4 separate regions of the Mus musculus genome follow, and regions 1, 3 and 4 are each reported to be linked to region 2. Evidence: microRNA targets listed by miRTarBase, many of them from high-throughput screens and not tested one by one. Region 2 holds a microRNA gene; each other region holds the end of a gene's coding sequence.
The links. Region 2 holds the annotated microRNA mmu-miR-324-3p (CCACUGCCCCAGGUGCUGCU, at 3,662-3,681, opposite strand). A microRNA usually pairs through its seed, bases 2 to 8, with sites in the 3' UTR of a target mRNA and lowers its output. Matches are read on the target gene's strand: a 7mer-m8 pairs with bases 2 to 8, a 7mer-A1 pairs with bases 2 to 7 and ends in A, and an 8mer does both.

Region 1 (5,000 bases), not on the chromosome of region 2:
TTATTGCTACTGTCTTTCCATTACATGTAAGCTTTGGGGGGCTGGACAAAGTGGCCCAGTGGTTAATAACATTGTTCTTCCCAGTGCCCACATCGGGAGACTCACAACTGTCTGGTACTTCAGGTCCAGTGATCAAACAGTTTTGGCAATGAACAAATATGTATTCTCTCTCTCTCTCTCTCTCTCTTCCTTCTCTCTCCCTCTCCTCCCCCTCCTCCTCTCTCACACACAATACACACACAACACACACACACAAACAATAAAAATAATTTTTTCTAAAAAATTACACTCTTACTAGGCAGTGGTGGCGCACACCTTTAAACCCAGCAGAGGCAGGCAGATCTCTGTGAGTTTCAGGTCAGCCTGGTTTTCAGAGTGAGTTTTAGGACAGCCAGGGCTACATAATGAAACCCTGTCTTTATTCAGGGCCAAAAGATACACACTGGTTACTGTTGTCAGCCTTGAAGCAGCATCTAGGGGGTCACCGACAGCTTGACTTTCTGAGCAGTCCACACACTTGTCTTGTGGGTCTCCATCGGTTTGACTCTTCCACATTTCCACGTAGCAGGATTTGGCTGCTGGGTTTCAACGCCTCCTTCCCAAGCAGGGTTCCTATGGGATGCATTTCCGGAAGGGCTGAGCTTCGGAGGACTGTCCAAATGGTTATTTTAGTATGGTCATGCTGCTTCCTGTCTGCCGGGAACCATGGAGGTGCAGATGAAACCTGTAAGCCAGCTGACTGTTGGAACACATCCTGACCAGAGGTCAGTTAACCTCTGTGATGGTAAATTTTTGTCAAGTTGATGCACACTAGGGCCAGCTGGCAAGAAGAAGCCTTCATTGAAGGCACGTCTGTGGGGGCATTCTTTTGATTGATGATGGATGTCGGGGATCCAGCCTGCTATGGGTGGCACCACTGCTGCCCAGGGGATTGTATAAGAAAGCAGGCAGAGGTGCCCACAGAGCAAGCCCAGCAAACAGTGCTCCTTTGTGCTCTGTGTCCATCCCTTGCCCAACTTCCTTAAATGACGCTGATTGGTTTTAATGTCAACTTGACACTAATTGGACTGAATAGGGAACCTCATCTGCAGAGCTTCTCTGATTGACGTGGGAAGGTGCACCCCAATTGTGGGCTGTGTCTTCAGGCGGCAAAGGGTATTTCAGAAGAAACTTTAGTTTGCCTTTCTGCCCCGTGGTCTCCCTTCTGGGTACCCGGTTGATTTACCCTTGCTGCGGACAGCTGCACTAGCGTACACCCAGTTACTGTCTTGGGATAAACCACCCTGGGCTTTAGAGGCAGCAACTCCCCAGCCAGCTCGGGGTCTGGTGGGATGTGTGATTATGTAGGTTTCTGGCTCCCAGAGCCATCCAGACCCAGGCATTAGCACCCTTCGTGAGATGGTTCTGGGATGTGGCAGACTTGGGCCCACTGAAAGGTGACATGACAGGAAGCCCTCTGGAGCACACACCCCCTCCCCCGCCCTCCAGAGGTTGGCACTCTCCTCCCCTGGATGTGGAGCTGGGTAGCAAACGCCAGAGTATCTTACTAAACTGTTGTCCTAGGTTTCTGTCTGTTTGAATTTCGTTGTTCTCCTGCCTCAAAATCTAGCTCTCAGCTTGCAGCTTGTAGGTAAGCACTGAGCACACATGCCTGCCTGCCTGCCTGCCTGCCTGGATACCTACTGTTGGAAGTATCTGGGGAAACCTGGGCTCCCTAGAACCCTTTGTCTCCTAACAGCTGTATGGTGTTCCTCAAGTTGGCCAAGGAACGTCTCATGGGTAAAATGGGAACTTAGAGAATAATCTGGCAACCTCGAGGGATTCTTATGAGCAAGTAAGTCCCCCACTGTACCCTAAACATGGTAGAGCTTTGCTAGTAACATTTGTCCTTTTATATTGCCAAGATTTACTTTTCATTATTTATGTGCTCGCATGTTGTATGTACATGTGTGTGATCATGTGCATGTGCATGGCTGCAGATGCCAAAGAGTTTGCTGGATCCTTGAAGCTGGAGTTACATGTGGTTGAAGGGGCCTCCGACAACAGCAAGCGCTCTAACTGCTGAACCGTCCCTCCAACCCTCAGTCAGTGGGAAGCTTACCCGTGCAGACCTCTGCTCTTTCCCTGGTGTAGAGATTGTACGACTTACTTTTGCTCTCATTTCCTAACTGCACAAGAGAGCCTGCTAACCAACAGGGCTACAAGGCCAGGAACCAGCTCTATGGGCCAACTCTAGCTGTCTAGGAAGCCCTAAGAGGAAACCCATAGTGACCTTGCTGGTTCTGATGAAAAGCAGGGAGGGCTAGATTAGAAACCACACTATAGGACGGTTCATACTCACAGCACAGCCCATCCGCAGGGCGCTTTGAGTTCTTCACATGTAACTCGCCTCAGACACCATAGGACGGTTCATACATACAGCACGGCCCATGGAAGGGCACTTTTGAGTTCTTCACCATGTAACTAGCCTCAGAACATATGTTCGTAGCTCCCTGTTGCCTAGCAGTCCTTTGTCTGTAAAATCCTGGAAATAAGGACAAGAAAAGCATGCCGGAGCAGGAAGGACCACCAGGGGAGTTAGAACCCAGATGGATGGATTGCAGTGTGCTGCTATTGTTCCGGTGTAGACTGTGGGTTCTTTCTGGAGAAGCAGTAGGAGACTTATCATTGGAAAAGGGTCAACAGTTTGTTAAAAAGAGAAATGCCAGGCGGCTCAGTGGGTAAGAGCACCCGACTGCTCTCCCGAAGGTCAGGAGTTCAAATCCCAGCAACCACATGGTGGCTCGCAACCATCTGTAACAAGATCTGACGCCCTCTTCTGGAGTGTCTGAAGACAGCTACAGTGTACTTACATATAATAAATAAATAAATCTTTAAAAAAAAAAAAAAAGAGAAATGCCTTCGGTGTGTGCAAATCTCTGCCTCCTAGACTCTAGAGTCTTTTAGTCAGTCCCGAGGACTCAGTTTCCAGACCGTACTGCTACCCGAGGCTGGCTTCTCTGCCTCTGCGTGGTTCCATCTCCCAGTTTCAGATCCATCCAGACAAATGGTGTAGCTGAAGTGCAAAAGACCCTTTCTTGGTGGGTAAACTGCTTCTAACTGCCTCCTCTAGCCTCCTGTCAGCTGCCTCAGGTTTCAGGAATGCAATACTGGGCATTCCTGCAGGTAGTCTAAAGCCCTTCCTGTGCCCAGCACAAGGCCCATTTTTGAGAAGGATGACAGCAGAGTGGACGTGTGGGTGGCCTCCCTGAGGGCTCTATGCTGTCACAGTCACTCAGCTGGAAACTCCACAGCCCCTCAGAGGCCGAGTACTGATACCCAAGGTTTCAGGTGCACGTGGACACGGTGAATGGCCAGAAAATGTTAGCAGCTTTTCCTCCGAGGCTGTTGTGTTTCGGTTAGAGGTGAGGGAAGCTGCTTCCTGGACGAATCCCAAGAGGCTTCTGGGTAACTGCCTGTCAGGGACCCTCTATGGTCACTAGGAGGATTTTAGTAGCCCACAGCTAGCTCTAGTCCTGACAGGCCAGACACCTCTTGACCCATCACCTCAGTGGCACCATGGACAACCGTGGTGGGAAATGCAGCTAGTGTAAAAAAGCAAAACAAAACAATTCAAGGCTTTTGAAAAAAAGCATCATTTATTTCAAAGTACAACACAAAGTTGTATTTTAAGAAATACACAATCTTGTAATGTCAAGACTTGGCTATGTGCATTTCAGTTTATCTTTAAAATAAATTCAGGTATACAAATGGTACATACCTCAAGTACAAACAGCACAGAGTGCCTGTGGTTCCTGCTGGGCGCTTTACATCCAGCCACTGCTCTTACGCTGGCTTACATTTCTGTAATCTGCTTTTAAGCCAAGACAGCCTTACTTTAAAAAAATACTCTGTATTTTCAGCACAAAGTCCTCGTACATTTTTAAAATTAGATCTTGGCGCATAATATTGTGAAATTATTAAAAACCAAACTTGGTAATTTAGTAAAATTGTCACATGCCAGGACTTGTCAATCAATTCAAATCACTCCCTTAACTGTAATGCCAAATTTGTGTTCTTACAGATAAAGAAGGCAGGAAGAGACAGGTGGGGACTGGGTAAGTCAAGATTTCAGGTGGACAGGCTGTAGTAGTTTGTGGCTGAGTCCAGACTTTTGTCTTTAAGCACAACAGCAAATCTCAGAGTATCATAATTGCAAGAAAGATGTGAGAGAAGCCAGTGCACCAAGCCTGCCCTGCGAGGAGGGGAGAGGGCTTGAGGCAGTGAGGGCCTTCAGAAGATGTCTTGGAAACTGGCATATCATGATCTAGATGAGGGGCCCCCACTTCGTTTTTTGCTTAATTTTAATTTTCATGAGGGAAGTGCGAATTAGACCAAGGGTCAGAGCTTCTTCTTCCGACTGTGGGGCTCCAGATCCGCCAGGGGTTGTAGGTCTGTCCCAAGTCGTCAGCTGGGCCAGAGGCGGAAGGGGTGTGGGCGGCGGCAGAGTTTTCCGTGCCCATGAGGCTGATGCTCGACAGCGCGTTTGTTGGAGTGGAGAAAGGAAGGTTGCTGTTGATGTTGCTGGACCAGATGGAGCTGCTGAATGGAGTGGTGGACCACAAGCCGCTGCTGTTGCCAAGGATGGACTACGAAAAAAACAGAAGGAACATAATATTGAGTGTGGGGTGAGCAGGGCCGGCAGGGGACAGAGTGGTCCACAGACTTCTCCCATTTTTATTGATTTTAAAGAATACTCCAGACAGTTAGCCATAGCTCTGATATTTTATTGCAGGCTGACACAGCCTGGCTGGTGGACCCAGTGCAACCAGCCTGCTTTCTGTGCTTTCTGTGTGTGGGTCTCACTGAGGCAGGCGCCTGCGTGGGTCCTGGCCACACTAACTTGTATCAAGATGCAAAGCCCACAGTCCGACTGACTACCTGGAGTGTATAGAGAATTTGCTGGTCTGCTTTTAAGAGTGGCCACGTGCTATAAACGGGAGTTAGGACTATTACTAAGG
Region 2 (5,414 bases):
GTCTGCCACCTCACGCCCCTCTTTATTTGAAGGAGAATTTTTTTCCTTATAATCCAGGTCTCTGCATCTGATATTTTCCTTTCTCTCTTTTAACTTTAGCTAGGAAGTCCTCCCTCCAGTCTACCTCCAACCTTCTAGTCATTTAATTCTTCCTTCTCTTATCTAATCTCTTCCCTTTTTAGTGGATCAGACTTTAGTTTAGACCAGCGGCTCTATAGAGTTTGGGAAAGAAAACGGATCGTTTGAAGATGGATCACCCTAGGTCAGGTAGAATACAGGGACCGGGCACACGTCGGAACTTCAGCTCCCACCATGCATCGAGGCCCAAGACCACGCCCCCACCACGCAGTGCATTGTGGAGCATGAGTCAGGGCCCAGACACACAACCTTTGGGCAGGCGAGACGCGAAGAGAAGAGGTCAGTGGTCAAGACTTCGGCGGCGGCTTTGGAGATGCAGTCGGCTCGGATGACCCCGAGTGTGGGGCGACAGCTGCTGCGGCTGGGGGCCCGAAGGTCCGTATATAGCAAGGGGACACTGGGTCTGGGAACCAGGGCAGAACTGAACCCCGACTCCTTACAGCTCGCGATCTACTACTGTGCTTCAGGGACAACCCCGGCCTATCTCTGCCCAGCGACTTTATGCCAGGGAGGCCACTCAGGTAAGTGACAGTGGATGAGGGAGACGGACGTAGAAATGCGAGTTGCCAGTTCCCACTAGCCTGCGACCGACAGGGGTCTCTCTCTTCGACCCAGTCACCTGGTGGCAGTTCTGTCACTGAAAGTAGGGGAAAGGGCACGCCAGGGTGCCCTAGTGAGAAAGTAATGGAACATGCACCAAACGCACTTCCTAGAGCTAGCGCTTCCTGCACACCTTTTAAGACCCATCTCCAGCCTAACTGCTCTGCCCTTCCCTCCAGGCAGTTCTGGACAAGCCAGAAACCCTCTCCTCTGATGCTTCCACCAGAGAAAAACCAGCCAGGGCAGTAAGTGACTGGAAACTGGACTGACACTTAAAAACCAGGAGTAGAATCACCCCAGGCACCCACCTAAGATCCTTTCCTTCCTTGCCTAGGAATCGAAGTCCTTTGCTGTGGGGATGTTCAAAGGCCAGCTTACCATTGATCAGGTGTTCCCATACCCATCTGGTAAGTAAAGGCTTAGTCAGTCACTGACAGTGTGGGCAGGGGAGCCCTCTCTGCCTGACTAGCCTGCTCTTCTCTCCCATTATACAGTGCTCAGTGAAGAACAGGCACAATTTCTCAAAGAGCTGGTGGGACCAGTGGCCCGGTTCTTTGAGGTAAGGGATGACCAGAGCTCAGCCCCTCCTGGGCTAAGTAAGATGCTAAGGAGCTTAAAGGAGCCTCTGAATATGAGATTCTTCCTATTCCTTGCTCAGGAAGTGAATGACCCTGCCAAGAACGACGCCTTGGAGAAGGTGGAGGACGACACTTTGCAGGGACTCAAGGAACTGGGGGCATTTGGCCTGCAAGTACCCAGCGAGCTGGGTGGTTTGGGCCTCTCTAATACCCAGGTGAGAGGATCCCCCTGGTTAACATTCCACAGTGCTCCAGTTTTGGTAGACTCACCACTAGGGCCAAGCAAGTAGCCAGAGTAGTGTCTACCTGCCTGCCCTTTTTCTCACACATTTTCCCCTGAAACATGATCTGTGTGCAGCCCACTAGGACCGTGGACCTAACTGTGGTTCCCAGGTCTTTGGGGACTGTGTGAGGCAACACAGCAGGCAACCTTCCCATCAAGACCAAGGGCAGCTGGGCACAGTGGCACTCATCTTTAATCCCAGCATGGAGGATGGAGGCAGAGGCGGGCGGATCTCGAGTTCAAGGCCAGCATGGTCTACAGAGGGAGTTTCAGGACAGTCAGGGAAACCCACAAAGTTTCAGGCTAGCTGGAGCTACAAAATGAAACTGCCTCAAAAGGGGGGGGGGGGATTATCTAAGCCCTTTGATGTTCCTGCTCCTGTCTCCTTAGGAAAGACTCCAGGGTTTCATGCTAGAGAAGCAGCCTACCTGGGAGCCCCATGGCCAGCCTCCCTGTGCCCTGTCCAAACCCACTCCACTCCCCATGCTCAGAGTAGAGATGCTCCAAGCCCCAGGCCAGGTCTGCCCTGCTGCCCATTCTTGTTGAGGACAAGTTCAGTGCAGCCAGCTACAATCCCAGATGCCTCCTTTCCCTCCAGTATGCTCGCTTGGCAGAGATTGTGGGCATGCATGACCTTGGTGTTAGCGTTACCCTGGGAGCTCATCAGAGCATCGGTTTCAAAGGCATCTTGCTCTATGGCACAAAGGCCCAGAGAGAAAAATACCTTCCCAGAGTGGCATCTGGTAAGGCAACCTTAAGAGACCCAGGGGTAAGGAGTGTGACACTGCTCACGGTGTTACAAGGAACTGCCTGGGGATGAGGGGGTGCAACTCTGGTGGTCAGGATCCCCAGTGAGCCCGTTCTCTCCCCCACAGGGCAGGCTTTGGCTGCTTTCTGCCTAACAGAGCCCTCGAGTGGATCCGATGTAGCCTCCATCCGAAGCTCAGCCATACCCAGCCCCTGTGGAAAATATTACACTCTCAATGGGAGCAAGATCTGGATCAGGCAATCTTCCGTTTCTCTTCTACCCTTCAGCCCAGTGGCCTGACCCTGCTGCTCTAAACCCTATACTAACCACCTCACTCTTCCACAGTAATGGGGGCCTGGCTGACATTTTCACTGTCTTTGCCAAGACGCCAATTAAAGATGCAGCCACGGGGGCCGTGAAAGAGAAGATCACAGCTTTTGTAGTGGAAAGGAGCTTCGGAGGGGTTACCCAGTGAGTATGGGGCAAAACAGAATCAAGGATGGGGACAGCACTGGGCTCTCAAGAGCAAATAGTCAATACAGGCCACGCTGGGGCTATCTCTGTACAAGAGGCACCCACAGGAGGTGAGCAGTTTTGTTTCCACTGGGGGAACACAGGCTAACAGGCCATAGCTAGATATCCGTAGCCCCTGGGGCACATAGGCAGTGCCCTGTATCCTTTTTATAGTCTGGGGAGTTCTCCCCTGATCATGAGACCCGAAAAGGCCGTTTTCCCCCACAGCAACCTGTTCATACCTCAACTTTCCTGCCCTGCCTTTTCAGTGGGCTCCCTGAAAAGAAGATGGGCATCAAAGCATCTAACACGTCAGAGGTGTACTTTGATGGAGTGAAGGTGCCATCAGAGAATGTGCTAGGAGAGGTGGGAGATGGCTTCAAGGTTGCTGTCAACATCCTCAACAACGGAAGATTCGGGATGGCTGCAACCCTCGCAGGCACCATGAAATCCCTCATTGCCAAGGCGGTGAGTCCCAGCCCAGTCCCTAGCTAGCACATGTCCCTGACTGCCTCAGAGCGCCGACACACACACATGCACACTCGACCATCGGCACAGTTAGGCCTCCAGCCCGTCCAGGTGGAAACTGAAGAACCACAGTGGGGTAACATGCGCCCTCTTGCAGGTTGATCATGCTACTAATCGTACCCAGTTTGGGGACAAAATTCACAACTTTGGGGTGATCCAGGAAAAGCTGGCTCGGATGGCTATTCTGCAGTATGTGACTGAGGTAAGGGCCTCCTGGGCCCCTTCCCTGGAGCCCTATGGCTTTCTTCACAGTTGGGTCAGACTACAACCCCCAGCAGCACCTGGGGCAGTGGGTCTCCAGCTTTACACCAATGCCCTAGGGGATGCGAGGAGGCATAGTCAGTTCTCTTCTGGAGGGTGGTGCTGCTCTGCTAAATGCTGCCCAGATGCACCAAACACGACTTTTAACCCACCCCTTTACAAAGTCGGAAGCCTCGAAGCCCCTGATATACCAGAGGGTCACATATTGGACATATTTGACCTGACCAGGAGGCTAAAGTGAATTCAAGGGTTGGAGGAGTAGATCAGCACTGGTCTTGAAGGTCTGAGCATTAGCCATTCTGTCTGATGCAGCCCTTCCCTGTTGTCTTCCCCATGTCCCGACCATGCTCCCTTAGTCCATGGCTTACATGCTGAGTGCCAACATGGACCAGGGATTCAAAGACTTCCAGATAGAAGCCGCCATCAGCAAAATCTTTTGCTCGGTGAGGACCCAGGTGTGATGGGAGGGCGGAGTCCAGATTAGGACCTCAGCTCAAAAATCCAACTCATCTGGTTCTCTGTCCTCAGGAGGCGGCCTGGAAAGTGGCAGATGAGTGCATCCAAATAATGGGGGGCATGGGCTTCATGAAGGTACAGAGTATTCCTCGGCAGGGGGGGGCATCTGTTCAGAGTGGACAGGCACATCTCAACAGAGGTTTCTGTGTCTTCCTGCGTGCCAGGAACCAGGGGTGGAGCGTGTGCTCCGAGATATTCGAATCTTCCGGATCTTTGAAGGGGCAAATGACATTCTTCGACTGTTTGTGGCTCTGCAAGGCTGTATGGTAAGAGGAAGGAGGATGAGAGAGAGCAGCTGGGGAGGACACTGAGTCCTCACTGTCGCCGTCCCCCTTCTCTCCACAGGACAAAGGAAAGGAACTCACTGGGCTGGGCAATGCCCTGAAGAATCCTTTTGGAAACGTTGGCCTCCTGATGGGAGAAGCAGGCAAACAGCTGAGACGGTACCTCATGGGCCGGGGCCAGGGTCAGAGTCAGGGTCAAACAAGATGGGAGGCCGCAACTGACCAGTCACTCTTCCATCTCCTCTCAGGAGGACAGGAATCGGCAGTGGTTTGAGTCTGTCAGGGATTGTCCACCCAGAGTTAAGTCGCAGTGGTGAACTGGTGAGTGAGCCTTAAAGCAGAGCCTGCGGTGGCTGTGCGCTGCCTTCCTCTCCTGAGCTCTGTCTGTGACTCTTGTCTCTTCAGGCAGTGCAGGCTCTGGATCAATTTGCCACCGTGGTGGAGGCCAAGCTGGTGAAACACAAGAAAGGGATTGTCAGTGAGTGAGCTCTGCAACCCCCTTCCCTCCCTGATTCCCTCCCTCCGACTAACAGCCCCACCCTCATCTACCTGACAGACGAGCAGTTCCTGCTGCAGCGACTGGCGGACGGCGCCATTGACCTCTATGCCATGGTGGTGGTTCTGTCCAGGTAAGGCGGCAGCGAGGGACGCTTGGCAGGCTAGAGCCACAGAGGAGCTGGGCCAACACCAGCACTCAGGATCATTTTAACCTCTGTTTCCTCACAGAGCCTCAAGGTCCCTGAGTGAGGGCTACCCGACGGCACAGCATGAGAAAATGCTCTGTGATAGCTGGTGCATTGAGGTGAGCCTTGGAGCTCCCCAGTACAGGTGGGCCTTGGAGCTCCCCAGTACAGGACGGCCTGACCGTCCCTCCCCTTCCCTCTCCCCAGGCTGCAACTCGGATCCGAGAAAACATGGCCAGTCTGCAGTCCAGCCCTCAGCATCAGGAGCTCTTCCGGAACTTC
Region 3 (5,000 bases), not on the chromosome of region 2:
CCCTCCTCTGTACCTCAATACCAGGTGCTCAGCACTGGCACACATCAACTCATTTCCACAGGGAACACGACACAGCTTCTCAAGACTTCCGGACATTTGCTTTCGTTTAGCCACAAGGGGAGGGAACCAAGGTGAATGGGCAGTCTTTCATCAGGGACAGAAATCCCGTGAACCATTCTTCAAGGAAATTCGATGTAGGGTCTTTGGCATCTCATGGAAAGCTTTCACATTCACCACCAGACATATTTGTTAGAGGACCCCCTCTACCTCCCCCATCAATTCCATGAACAACTGTCTCCTCTTCCATAAGGTAAAATGCCTGTGTGTATGGTCATAACCGTTTTGAACCTGGTATCCTTAGGCTCATCTCTTTCCATCTTTCACCCTGGGAAGCGATTCAAAGGACTGCCACTCTCGGGAGAGACTCAGAAAAGAATTTTATTTAGTGATAACTGCCATTCAATTACATTAAGCTTCCGGGAGAACAAGTGGACTCTGCTGAAGTTTACTGTGCACACATTGTCTGCTGAGAAAGCTTCCATTCGAAACAGCCATTTGTCTCCTTCTTGGTGAGTTTGCTGCAACATTAAACACTCACGAGTGAGGGCTATCCACTGCCCATTGTCACTGTCTCCTTCTGCTTGTGGGTAGAAAATGCAAACAGTAACCCTGTAGATGCCGAAGGCTTGTTCTCCCGTTCCAGTGGACATGGGTGCTCCTTCCCTGTCCATTGCCACCGGAAGACACATCACTGCAAATCCGAAACCCTGACCATCTATTTCTGCATAGAAAGTTCTTCAAAGGGGGGCACAAAACAGTGAACTTCAAGCATACAAAGCCCTGGTTTGTCTAACAACAGAAAAAAAAAATGCAACTCAAAACCGAGGCGGGCACAGAAAGTACAGATTGAAGAGTTACTAGAAATCTCCCCAGAGCCAGAGTTCATGGAGAGCACAGCTTGGAGCCACTCCTGCTCCTGCGACATGCCCTGGACTGCCACTCCAAGTTTGCTTGAGATTTTTTTATTTTCTCTTTTAACAAAGACTCAAAGGAAGTTAATTTGAATTCTTTTAAACTTGAGAAAGCAGATATATCTGACAGCATCATTGGTGAAGCAATCTTTAAAAAAAAGACGTTTGCTTCAAAGTAAAGTAGTCTGTTTCAGAAATGTCTCCAGCTGAACCTTTCCATGCTGGAGGTGACAGACAGTGGATAGAGAATGAAATGACGGGTGAGGCTGTGTCTCGGGAGAGAAGAGGAGAGGAGGCTCGGGCTGGAGGCAACAGAATCAGGACTTGGAGATAACAGAGAACAGGACAGATAGAAAACTCCCCCCTTACCCCTTTATTTTGCACCTTATTACCCATTAACTCCAGTTTTTCTCCTTGAGGTTTAGAGAACAGGCAGTTCGTATTTAGTTGTTGAAGGAGTCATAGTAAAAATATTTCATAACAAACTCTACACTAGTATGAAAATGCAGAGCTAGCTGTTTTCAAAGGCTTTTCATCTCTCTAATAGGTCGCACAGGAAGACGATGTGAGAGCCTGGACTCTCTTGGAGAAGTTTTGAAGAAAACACTGAGACTCCCAGGTGGCCACAGAAGCCTCTTTCAGGCTATGCAATCTGTATCAAGTCGCAAGTAGGTCAAATGCTAGAAAAATATAGCCCTTAATATACGCACCAAGTCCCCCCTGCGTAGGATCCTCCCCCCAAGTGAATGAGTGCTTTGATTTTTTTTTAGCAATTGAAATTTTCCTGTGTCCAGCAGGGTGGAGTCGAGTGAAGAACACCGCTCTCCCATGCTGTGGTCAATCATGTGGAGCCTTTAATGTCACGGACATTGTGTCTGGCAGTTAGGACCAGACCATCTTCAGCACATCCTCCTGGCTGGAACCTTCTGCCAGGGAACGGAGCGATACTCCAGACTTTCCAGCTCTCCTTCCGCCTCCCCCAGAGCAGCAGGATTCTTACTGGTGTTGTCTAGCCATACATTTTTTGCTTGATACAATTTGGACTACTATGCTAATACGGAATGTTATTTTTTTTGTTTGTTTCTTTGTTTGTTTTTTTTCCCAGTTTAGATGGAGAACTGAGTTCAAATAGTCAAGGAGGCAGGGTTTCGTTATTGCAAGAATTTAAAAGTTCATTCTTCAAATATTATAATCCTAGGCAGGTCCTTTAGCTTACGGCTCTCTGTAACTTAAAGAGGAAGACTGTCTCCTCCTCCTCCCCTGCAGCTGAACTTTCCTATGTCAGGATAAAGCCACTATAAATTTATAAAGAGCAGGTACGGAACCTTAGCAACCACCCCTGTTTCCTGAATACTTCAATTTTCCTAATCTGCATCATTGTGAGAAATAGCATTAACCAGTAAGAAGCATGGAGGGTCATGCTATCACCACACTGGATAAATAAAGTCTCCCACCAGGTCACCATGTCTGCTGACTGTGAACACTGAATACACCAGACTCCCCATCCTGTATGCTGCCAGGGTAACGTGAGAACCACGTTATACAGGCCTGGTGCTGAGGGAGCCAGTGATGAGTAGGGTAGCTAGAGAAAAACAATGAGAACATGGGAAGAAGCCGGAGACATGCAGGGAACCCATTTTTGCAATCTGTCTCCCCAAGAGGCGTGAGATCCATATACCTAGGCCAGCAGTCCAGTCCTCTTGCAGAGTGTACTAACAGATACACTTGCGAGACTAGTTCTCAGACTTAACTCTCTTACAGAAATGTAGCAGAGTAACCCAAAGAAGTGTGTCACGAGCTACAGGCTCTCATCACGGGCTGGGAATCTGTTGCTCTGTGTTACTGCAGGTGTGGCAGACAGCTGGTCGCTTTAGTCCTTCAGAAGGAATTTCTGCATTTTGTGCTGAGTGGTCATTGGGGGTGAATCCAAGTGCTTTACCACTTGGTTTTAACTCATATCCACGGCAGGAGAATCAGTGTGATCTAGCTTCTTTCCTGAGACTCTGGGGACCCTACCCCAACTCACACCAGTCCTCATGATGTGGCCTTTTCCACACATTTTAGGGAAAGAATTGCATTCCAATTCACACTGAGAGTCACAGAGTATGGAAGGGCTCTGGTGAGACGCGCTGAGCCCTAAACTAGCCTGGCCTTCCTTCCAGGGTTCTCAGTTTGAATCCAGCATGAGTCTCTACAGCTCAAAGAACAGGCTGGTCTCTAAGCACCCTCCCTGAACCTCACTTCTCCATCTCTGGGTCACGTGCTCTTGTGCAAATGACCTTCAAAGCCACAGCCCAGTATGGGCAACACTCAAGCAGAGATTACAAAGCACATCGAGACTCACAGATCTGCTCTGGGTGAGTTACACACAGACGTGAACACACGCGGGCTTGTCCATCAGGCCGAGTGAAAGCAGTCTACTTCAGAAAAACAAGTCTCCCCTTAGTCTCTACCCTTAGTCAAAACCAGCACGGGCTTGACCTGACCCATCAGATGCCAGGCAGACAGACAGACAGACAGACAGACACTGAGGAGGAGATCTTGTGATGTGGTAGGGCATAGAATTTTCTTCTCTAAGAGATACATGATTCATGGGCAAAAAAAATCACCTATCAGCAGCTGGGCCAATCTGGAAACTCTTTTTGTCTTTCCTTTCTTTGGAAAGGTGGACACACAGTTCCTATCAATTTATAGGGGAAAGGGCTGAACACAGTCTCAGAAGCAGGAAAAGCTTTCAGGGAGGGAGGTTCCTTCATTCCTTTTTCCTTTTCCATTGTCTTAATTGTTTTTCCCCTCTAGCAGCTGGCCAGCCAGGTCTCAGCACACACAGGAGCTTGTCCAAATCATTTAGCCACGCACTTAGAACTACCTGTTCCCTGACGGACTTCCATCTCCCTCGGAGCCCAGGCAGAGCTGAGGGAGACGGCCAAGGACAGGCAAAGTAGCTGCTACCCGATCAGTGCAGGCCCCTGGATTCCTTCTCTGCCACAGTACTACATAATAAATAGATTCATATGTCAGGACTCCCAGCATCCCCTCCGTGTGGCTTCCTAAGGGCACTTGCTGACTCTTACCAACACAGGCAGCACTAAGTCAGACATGGGTTAAAGGGGAAAGTGAAAAGGAGAAAGAAGCCCCACAGAGTCACGTGAAAAGGTCCCATGTGGACGTTACTGCTGAATTTGGGAACATAGAAATTCTACCCCGTCGTTGCTTGGCAAGGGTTACTGTTGCTTGGCCCAGGATGTGGCTCGTGGGTGCTGAGATCAGACTTGCCCTTGGCGTTGCTGCCTGGAGACGGTGGTGAACAAATTCTCTGATCAGTTCTGGGCCTTAGCATAATGTTCTACGCACCACCGCCACTGAGAGTTCGTTTCCTGATTGTCGTTTACTCGAGGGACTTAGAAGAGTTTAGCTTTTTTCTTCATGTCGTTGCGTCTCCAAAGAGGTAACTTGTCAAATTCCTGTATGGACATCCCAAAGATCTCCCAAAATACTTCTGGGGCTAAGTGGCGCTGGGAAGAGAGAAGCAAGAGGTTGTTAGTCCTAACGGCCACGCCAATGAACATCAGATGCCTTTTCCAATTTACGAATGTAGCCAGCCTTCCATAGTCCTGGCTTCTGCATCGCCAATCCAATCCATTTAGATAAAAAGTATCCTTCCCAAACTGCCTCTGACTTACACATGTACAGACTGTTTCCCTGGTCATTTTGCCCCAAACAACACGGTTCTGCAAGTATGGACGGCTCCTTTCGGTTCCACTAGGCATCATATGTCATCTAAAGATGGTTTAAAGCATAAGGGAGGGTGTGCAGAGACAATGTATAAAGAACGTATCACTTTCTGCACCTGCAGACTTTGTCGGCTGTTGGGGGGGGCGGTGTCCTGAAATCCATTCCCTGCAGAAACTCAGAGACACTAACATCATCCTGAAGAGCCAGTCAGACTGGGGAGAGAGGCGGCTCTCTCTGGGGCTTGTTTCCTGGGCACAGCCAGGTAGTGTCCTCCACCAGAGGAAACACCTGGCA
Region 4 (5,000 bases), not on the chromosome of region 2:
CTCAATGAGAAACCCTGTCTCAAAGAGTAAGGTGTCTTTGAGGAAGACAGCTGACAGTGACCTTTGACCCACACCTACCTACACATGAACACATAGAAAGAGTGAGCCTTATTCTGAACTGTGGACCTTGTTAATGATGTATTGATACTAACTCCATGGAGACCACCCACTGACGGTGCCCTTGGGACCCCCCTCCTTTCCTCTGCAGGGCATCCAGATCGTGTGTGAGACTTTGACCGAGTGCTGGGACCATGACCCCGAAGCCCGTCTCACAGCACAGTGTGTGGCAGAGCGCTTCAGTGAGCTGGAGCATCCGGAGAGACTCTCTGGGAGGAGCTGCTCCCAGGAGAAGATTCCAGAAGATGGCTCGCTGAACACTACCAAATAGCTTTTTCTGGGCAGGCTGGGCCAAGCCTCCAGAAGCCGTCCTCTAGCCAAAGACCAGAGGCAGCAGGATTCTCTCCTGACTGATGCTTCTGGAAAACCAAGGACTTGCTCCCTTCTTCCCCAGGAGCTGCCCCGTGTTTAGAAGCGGCAGCAGCAGCAGCAACAACCATAGCGGCGGTGGCAGCGGCGGGGGATGAGTGACAGAGAGCGTCCTATGCCTTGGAGACTGTCATGGCATAAGCTGTGCTAGCACCTCCTCAGGAAATGAGATTGATTTTTACAACAGCCAATAACGTTTGCACTTTATTAATGCCTGTGTGTAAATACGAATAGCTATGTTTTATATATATCTATATATCTATATGTCTATATCTCTCTATATATAGCCATACTCTGCAAGGAGACAAAGAAAATGATCAAATGTGTTCCCCGGGGAATTAGTTTTTATTGGAGAGCTCTAGAATGGAGCAGAAGGGACTCGGGATAGCGTTAGCACTTGACAATCAGTCACACAAGCAACGATCCCCTGACAGCAGGGTTGGGGGCACAATTGTATGAGAAGGATCCATGCCTTGCAGCCTGCTTTGGCCACAAAACACTTTGTTTTGCAATAATGACCCTCTACAGTAGGGTGCTTTATGGACCAGGGAGCTGAGCTCCAGTCCAGCACTGAGTCCCAGGATCTCCCATGTGTCTTTGCTTCTCTTGGTTGTTATCTTTGACATTCAAGCCCCACTCTGACTTGTGAACCTTCTGACTTAGCCTTGAAACTTGGCCCCATTTTTCTGCTTTTACGGGCTACCAAAAATCAAAGAAGACCGTTCCCCACCCATGAAATTGGCCTACCATCTACTAATAAGATTGAGTTCTTTGATCCTTTCCTGTGCATAAGTAACTGTTATTTGTTCCCTGCCATTATCCTTTGTTGATTTTTTTAAAACAAGGCACACCCTACACTCAGCCCCTCAGCCTCACTGTGTTTAATTTTTGTCGCTCTGCTGCTGGGTCTTCCAGCTTGCCATGGCAACACCAGTGGGTTCCATTATCCCAGCCTCCCAAATAGCGGACAGGATTTGAATGGCGCACGCTGCCCATACTGTACAGCTGTGTCCGGGGACTCTTTGAACCCTCCTTTTCCTCGATCAACACACTGTCGAAAAAGTTAGTTGAGCTTCTTTAGAACTATTTGGGAGGTTGCAGAGAAGCTTAGATTCCCCAATAAGCAGAGGAGGTGGTTCCTAGCTCCGCCCCCAGGGGGCATCATTTCCAGCAAGAAGGGCATGGCTGCAGCTGCCTCACTGCTCACTCCTAAGCCTCCAGACTTCCCATTACTCACACCCACCCCAGTCTGGAAATGAAAGCTGCTTCCAGTCAGGATCCATTGTAAGAAAAGTGCGTTCGTGAGCATGGAGAGATAGCAAGTAAAAATGGTTGCACCACAAGCAAGACGACCTGAGTTCAACCCCTCCAGAACCCACGACAAAAGTCATGTTCAGTGGGGCACTCTTATCATCTCAGCCCTGGGAAGACGAACACCCCTGGAAGCCCAGGGCTAGGAAGATTGTCTCCAAAGCAGGGTGAGCAGCACCCTGAGGAACATCTGACATTGACTGACTTCTGGTCTCCATCACAGGTGCACCCACGAACACCCACACACACGTGCACACACTAGAAATGTGCATTCATTTCACCCTGTTCTGGGAACAGATTGGATTGCACAAAACTTATCTGATGTTATGATTTGAAATTGACATAAATTGGACATCAGGAGACCACCTGTGTGTGACCTCATTAGGTCAGGGCTCTTTGTATGCATAATAAGTTTCATCTGCCTCTGCAAGGGAACCTCTCTGCTCTAAGAATCTTTCTTTATGGCTACTGGTCTCTGCATGGTCCTAACCTTGGCAGAAATTACAAGTGCATATTTGAACAGGGGTCACACAGGACTCCTGTGTAGAGACAGGGACTCTGTGTCCACTTGGATGAGAGCAGGGAATGAGCTTTAAAAGGAAACTTGTTAATCCCCCAACAAATGTGGATGTTGCAAACCAAAGTCTGTCTTGTTAAGAAATTGTGTTTTTGAAGCGACTTATTTTCAACCAAATAGGAGCATGATTGGAGAACCACCAAGGGGGCCTTTTGTTCTGTTTGGTCAACATGGTCAAATTGGGGGTAGGACAAAAATCTATGTGTTCTGTGGCTTCGAACACCATGGAAACCCCCAAGCCCACTTGCTTCTTTTGGATTGCCAGTGCTAACCCAGTAGCTGTTGTTCACCGCCCTCTAGCGGGGAATTTACAGAATGCTGGTCCACTAGTGGGATTTCTAGGGTTCAAAAGTGACTTCACTTCCGGGTCATCATCAGAAACTGGAATATGGTGTCATGTTACTGTGGCTTGTTTTGTTTATGTCATTTCTTTTCTTTATTCAAGAAAAAGACCAAGGAATAGCATCGCTGTCATTCCTCAAAGTGTTGACTCTTGTTCACTACTCTACATAAAGGGAAAGTTTTATTCTTTTATTGAACACTTCGGCCATATTCATGTATTCAAATAGGAATGTGAATGAATGCACAATATTCTTTTTATATCAAAACCTAAAGCACTTATTTTCAATCTATGCAGTGTTTGTCTTTTATATAAATAAAAATGTCTAGTAGATCAAATAAATCCAAAGTCCGCAGACCACCTTGCCTCTTGTTGCTGTCCCCAGTAGCTAAACCCACTTCACACACCAGACTATTCTTCAGCATGGCCAAAAATGTCCTTTTGTGCTCTTCCACATGGATTGTCCATGAGTAGTACTGTGAGCGCATTTCCCTGAGCAGATGTGCCATGTCTGATCACCTCAGATTGTGTCACCAGGGACAGAACAAAGTAAAGATCCCGTCAAAGTCCCACTTGTCAAGCAAACAAGTTGTCATGCTTACTAACAGAGTCTGATACAGGGCAAGTTCCAGGAGTGTGAATCACCCACAGAGTTTCACCCCCACATGAACGCTGACTTCCCCAGAGCTGCACAGACTAAGCGCCCTTCTGTTAGCCTCCCTGTCCCCACACACGCTAGCTCATCCTGAGACCATAGAATCACTTGCAGCTTGGCCAGAAAGACAGACATCCGGGAGGAAGGTATAGAAAAGTGTGGGTGGGATCTAAGGGAAGGGTCTGATGACCTCTGCTTCTGGGAGAGAATATGGCAACAGCCCCGTCTTGGAGGTCTCTTGTGGGTAGTCACAGTGCTCTGATGGAGACAGCTTGTGGAGTGTGTGAGTGTGAGCGTGTGTGTGTGTGTGTGTGTGTGTGTGTGTGTGTGTGTGTGTGTGTCAGGGGTGGGGTATTTTACAACAGACTCATGTCTCTTTAAAAACAATCCAGGAGAGATAAGGCAGTTGTATAAGCATGAGGAAATGAGCTTGGCCTTCAGATTTGAGGCAGAAAAAGCCACAGGTGATATAATATGCTTATAACACAGGTGATATAATGTAATTATAACACAGGTGATATAATATGCTTATAACACAGGTGATATAATGTAGTTATAACACAGGTGATATAATGTGCTTATAATCCTAGCTGGAGAGGCAGAGATAGGAACTCCTCAGAGCTTGCTGGTCAACCAGCCTAGCCTAACTGAGCCCCAGGTCAGTTAGGTCAGTGAAGGGACTGTGTGAAAATCCAAGTGTACAGGCCTAAGGAGTAACACTGGAGTTTAACCTCTGACCTCCTCACTCACATGTGCACATGTGCACATGCATGCCTACACATGAACACACACACACGACCAAAAGGTAATCCTCAACAGAAGCTCACTAATAAAAGAGGAACAGTAGCTAGCCCTTGGCAGCCTGCTGTCCCCTATCTCTGTGGTCTGTTCCTGAGCCCCTGTGTCCTGGCATGGTGGCTCTTGGTGTGCCAGCATGGCTTCTCTCTGTCCCAGGAACTGCTTTGGCCCATGTGGCTATTTATTCCAGGACTGTCACAGCGATGGCTGCCTCAGAGAATGTGCATCTGTGTGCGTTTTCTTGCCTCTGACTAGCATGCCAGTGATTGCCCTGGGTACCCTTTGACAGCCCCATACATAGCTTTGCATTGGTGTGTTGAGCCTGCATCTTGGCTGGTAGTAAGTTGCTGCTTTGCATAAAGGCGGATTTATAGGAAAATCCCAGATGGCATTAAGAACACAGAAGGATGTGGAAGAGTGAGTGGTATATAGATAGACCAGGGAAGGCTCTGTCTGTGTGAGCGTTGGCAGTATAAACAGAGCACACACTCGATGAGCATTCACCCATCAGGCCAGGGAGGGCAGGAAGGCACGCACTCCCAGGGGGAAGGACTGGATTGTCAGAACACAGGCTCCTGAGATACAGTCTGGGGCAAAGCCAAGTTATCCAGGACCTAAAATTTTGTGCAACCAAAGTGCCTGCTTTTCTGTATTTCTTCTTGTCTCCTGATGAAAACTGGCCAGCGCGATGGGACTACATCGGGAGGCGACATACATGAGGAAATGCCCGGTAGTCCATGTACATGTCTTTCTATCTCTGTGCCCATAGCCATCCCGTTTTGCTCTAGGAGAGCCAGAATGTTCTTTTTTCTCCACTTAATTTACCCAGCACT

Region 1: the mRNA of Tmem131 is a reported target of mmu-miR-324-3p. The part of its 3' UTR that is shown has no 7-base or 8-base seed match.
Region 3: miRTarBase lists Ablim1 as a target of mmu-miR-324-3p. Seed matches in the 3' UTR shown: 7mer-A1 at 749-755 and 7mer-m8 at 613-619.
Region 4: miRTarBase lists Tgfbr2 as a target of mmu-miR-324-3p. The part of its 3' UTR that is shown has no 7-base or 8-base seed match.

The regions. Positions count from the first base shown.
Region 1 is chr1:36,788,578-36,793,577 of GRCm38, forward strand. Tmem131 (transmembrane protein 131) reads right to left here. Exons shown (of 41, transcript NM_018872.2): 41 at 3,612-4,628. The coding sequence ends at 4,344. Among named protein-coding and RNA genes, the nearest start is that of Zap70, 29 kb to the left of the region's middle.
Region 2 is chr11:70,010,362-70,015,775 of GRCm38, reverse strand. It overlaps Mir324 (microRNA 324), which reads right to left and starts at 3,733; the gene lies at 3,645-3,733. It overlaps Acadvl (acyl-Coenzyme A dehydrogenase, very long chain), which reads left to right and starts at 348. Exons shown (of 20, transcript NM_017366.3): 1 at 348-513; 2 at 581-659; 3 at 918-983; 4 at 1,073-1,145; 5 at 1,233-1,297; 6 at 1,397-1,531; 7 at 2,198-2,342; 8 at 2,475-2,604; 9 at 2,693-2,818; 10 at 3,130-3,328; 11 at 3,486-3,590; 12 at 4,006-4,092; 13 at 4,178-4,240; 14 at 4,330-4,431; 6 more. The coding sequence starts at 452.
Region 3 is chr19:57,032,852-57,037,851 of GRCm38, forward strand. It overlaps Ablim1 (actin-binding LIM protein 1), which reads right to left. Exons shown (of 26, transcript NM_178688.4): 26 at 1-4,486. The coding sequence ends at 4,373. Among named protein-coding and RNA genes, the nearest start is that of Afap1l2, 27 kb to the left of the region's middle.
Region 4 is chr9:116,085,766-116,090,765 of GRCm38, reverse strand. It overlaps Tgfbr2 (transforming growth factor, beta receptor II), which reads left to right. Exons shown (of 8, transcript NM_009371.3): 8 at 209-3,071. The coding sequence ends at 388. Among named protein-coding and RNA genes, the nearest start is that of Gm31014, 34 kb to the right of the region's middle.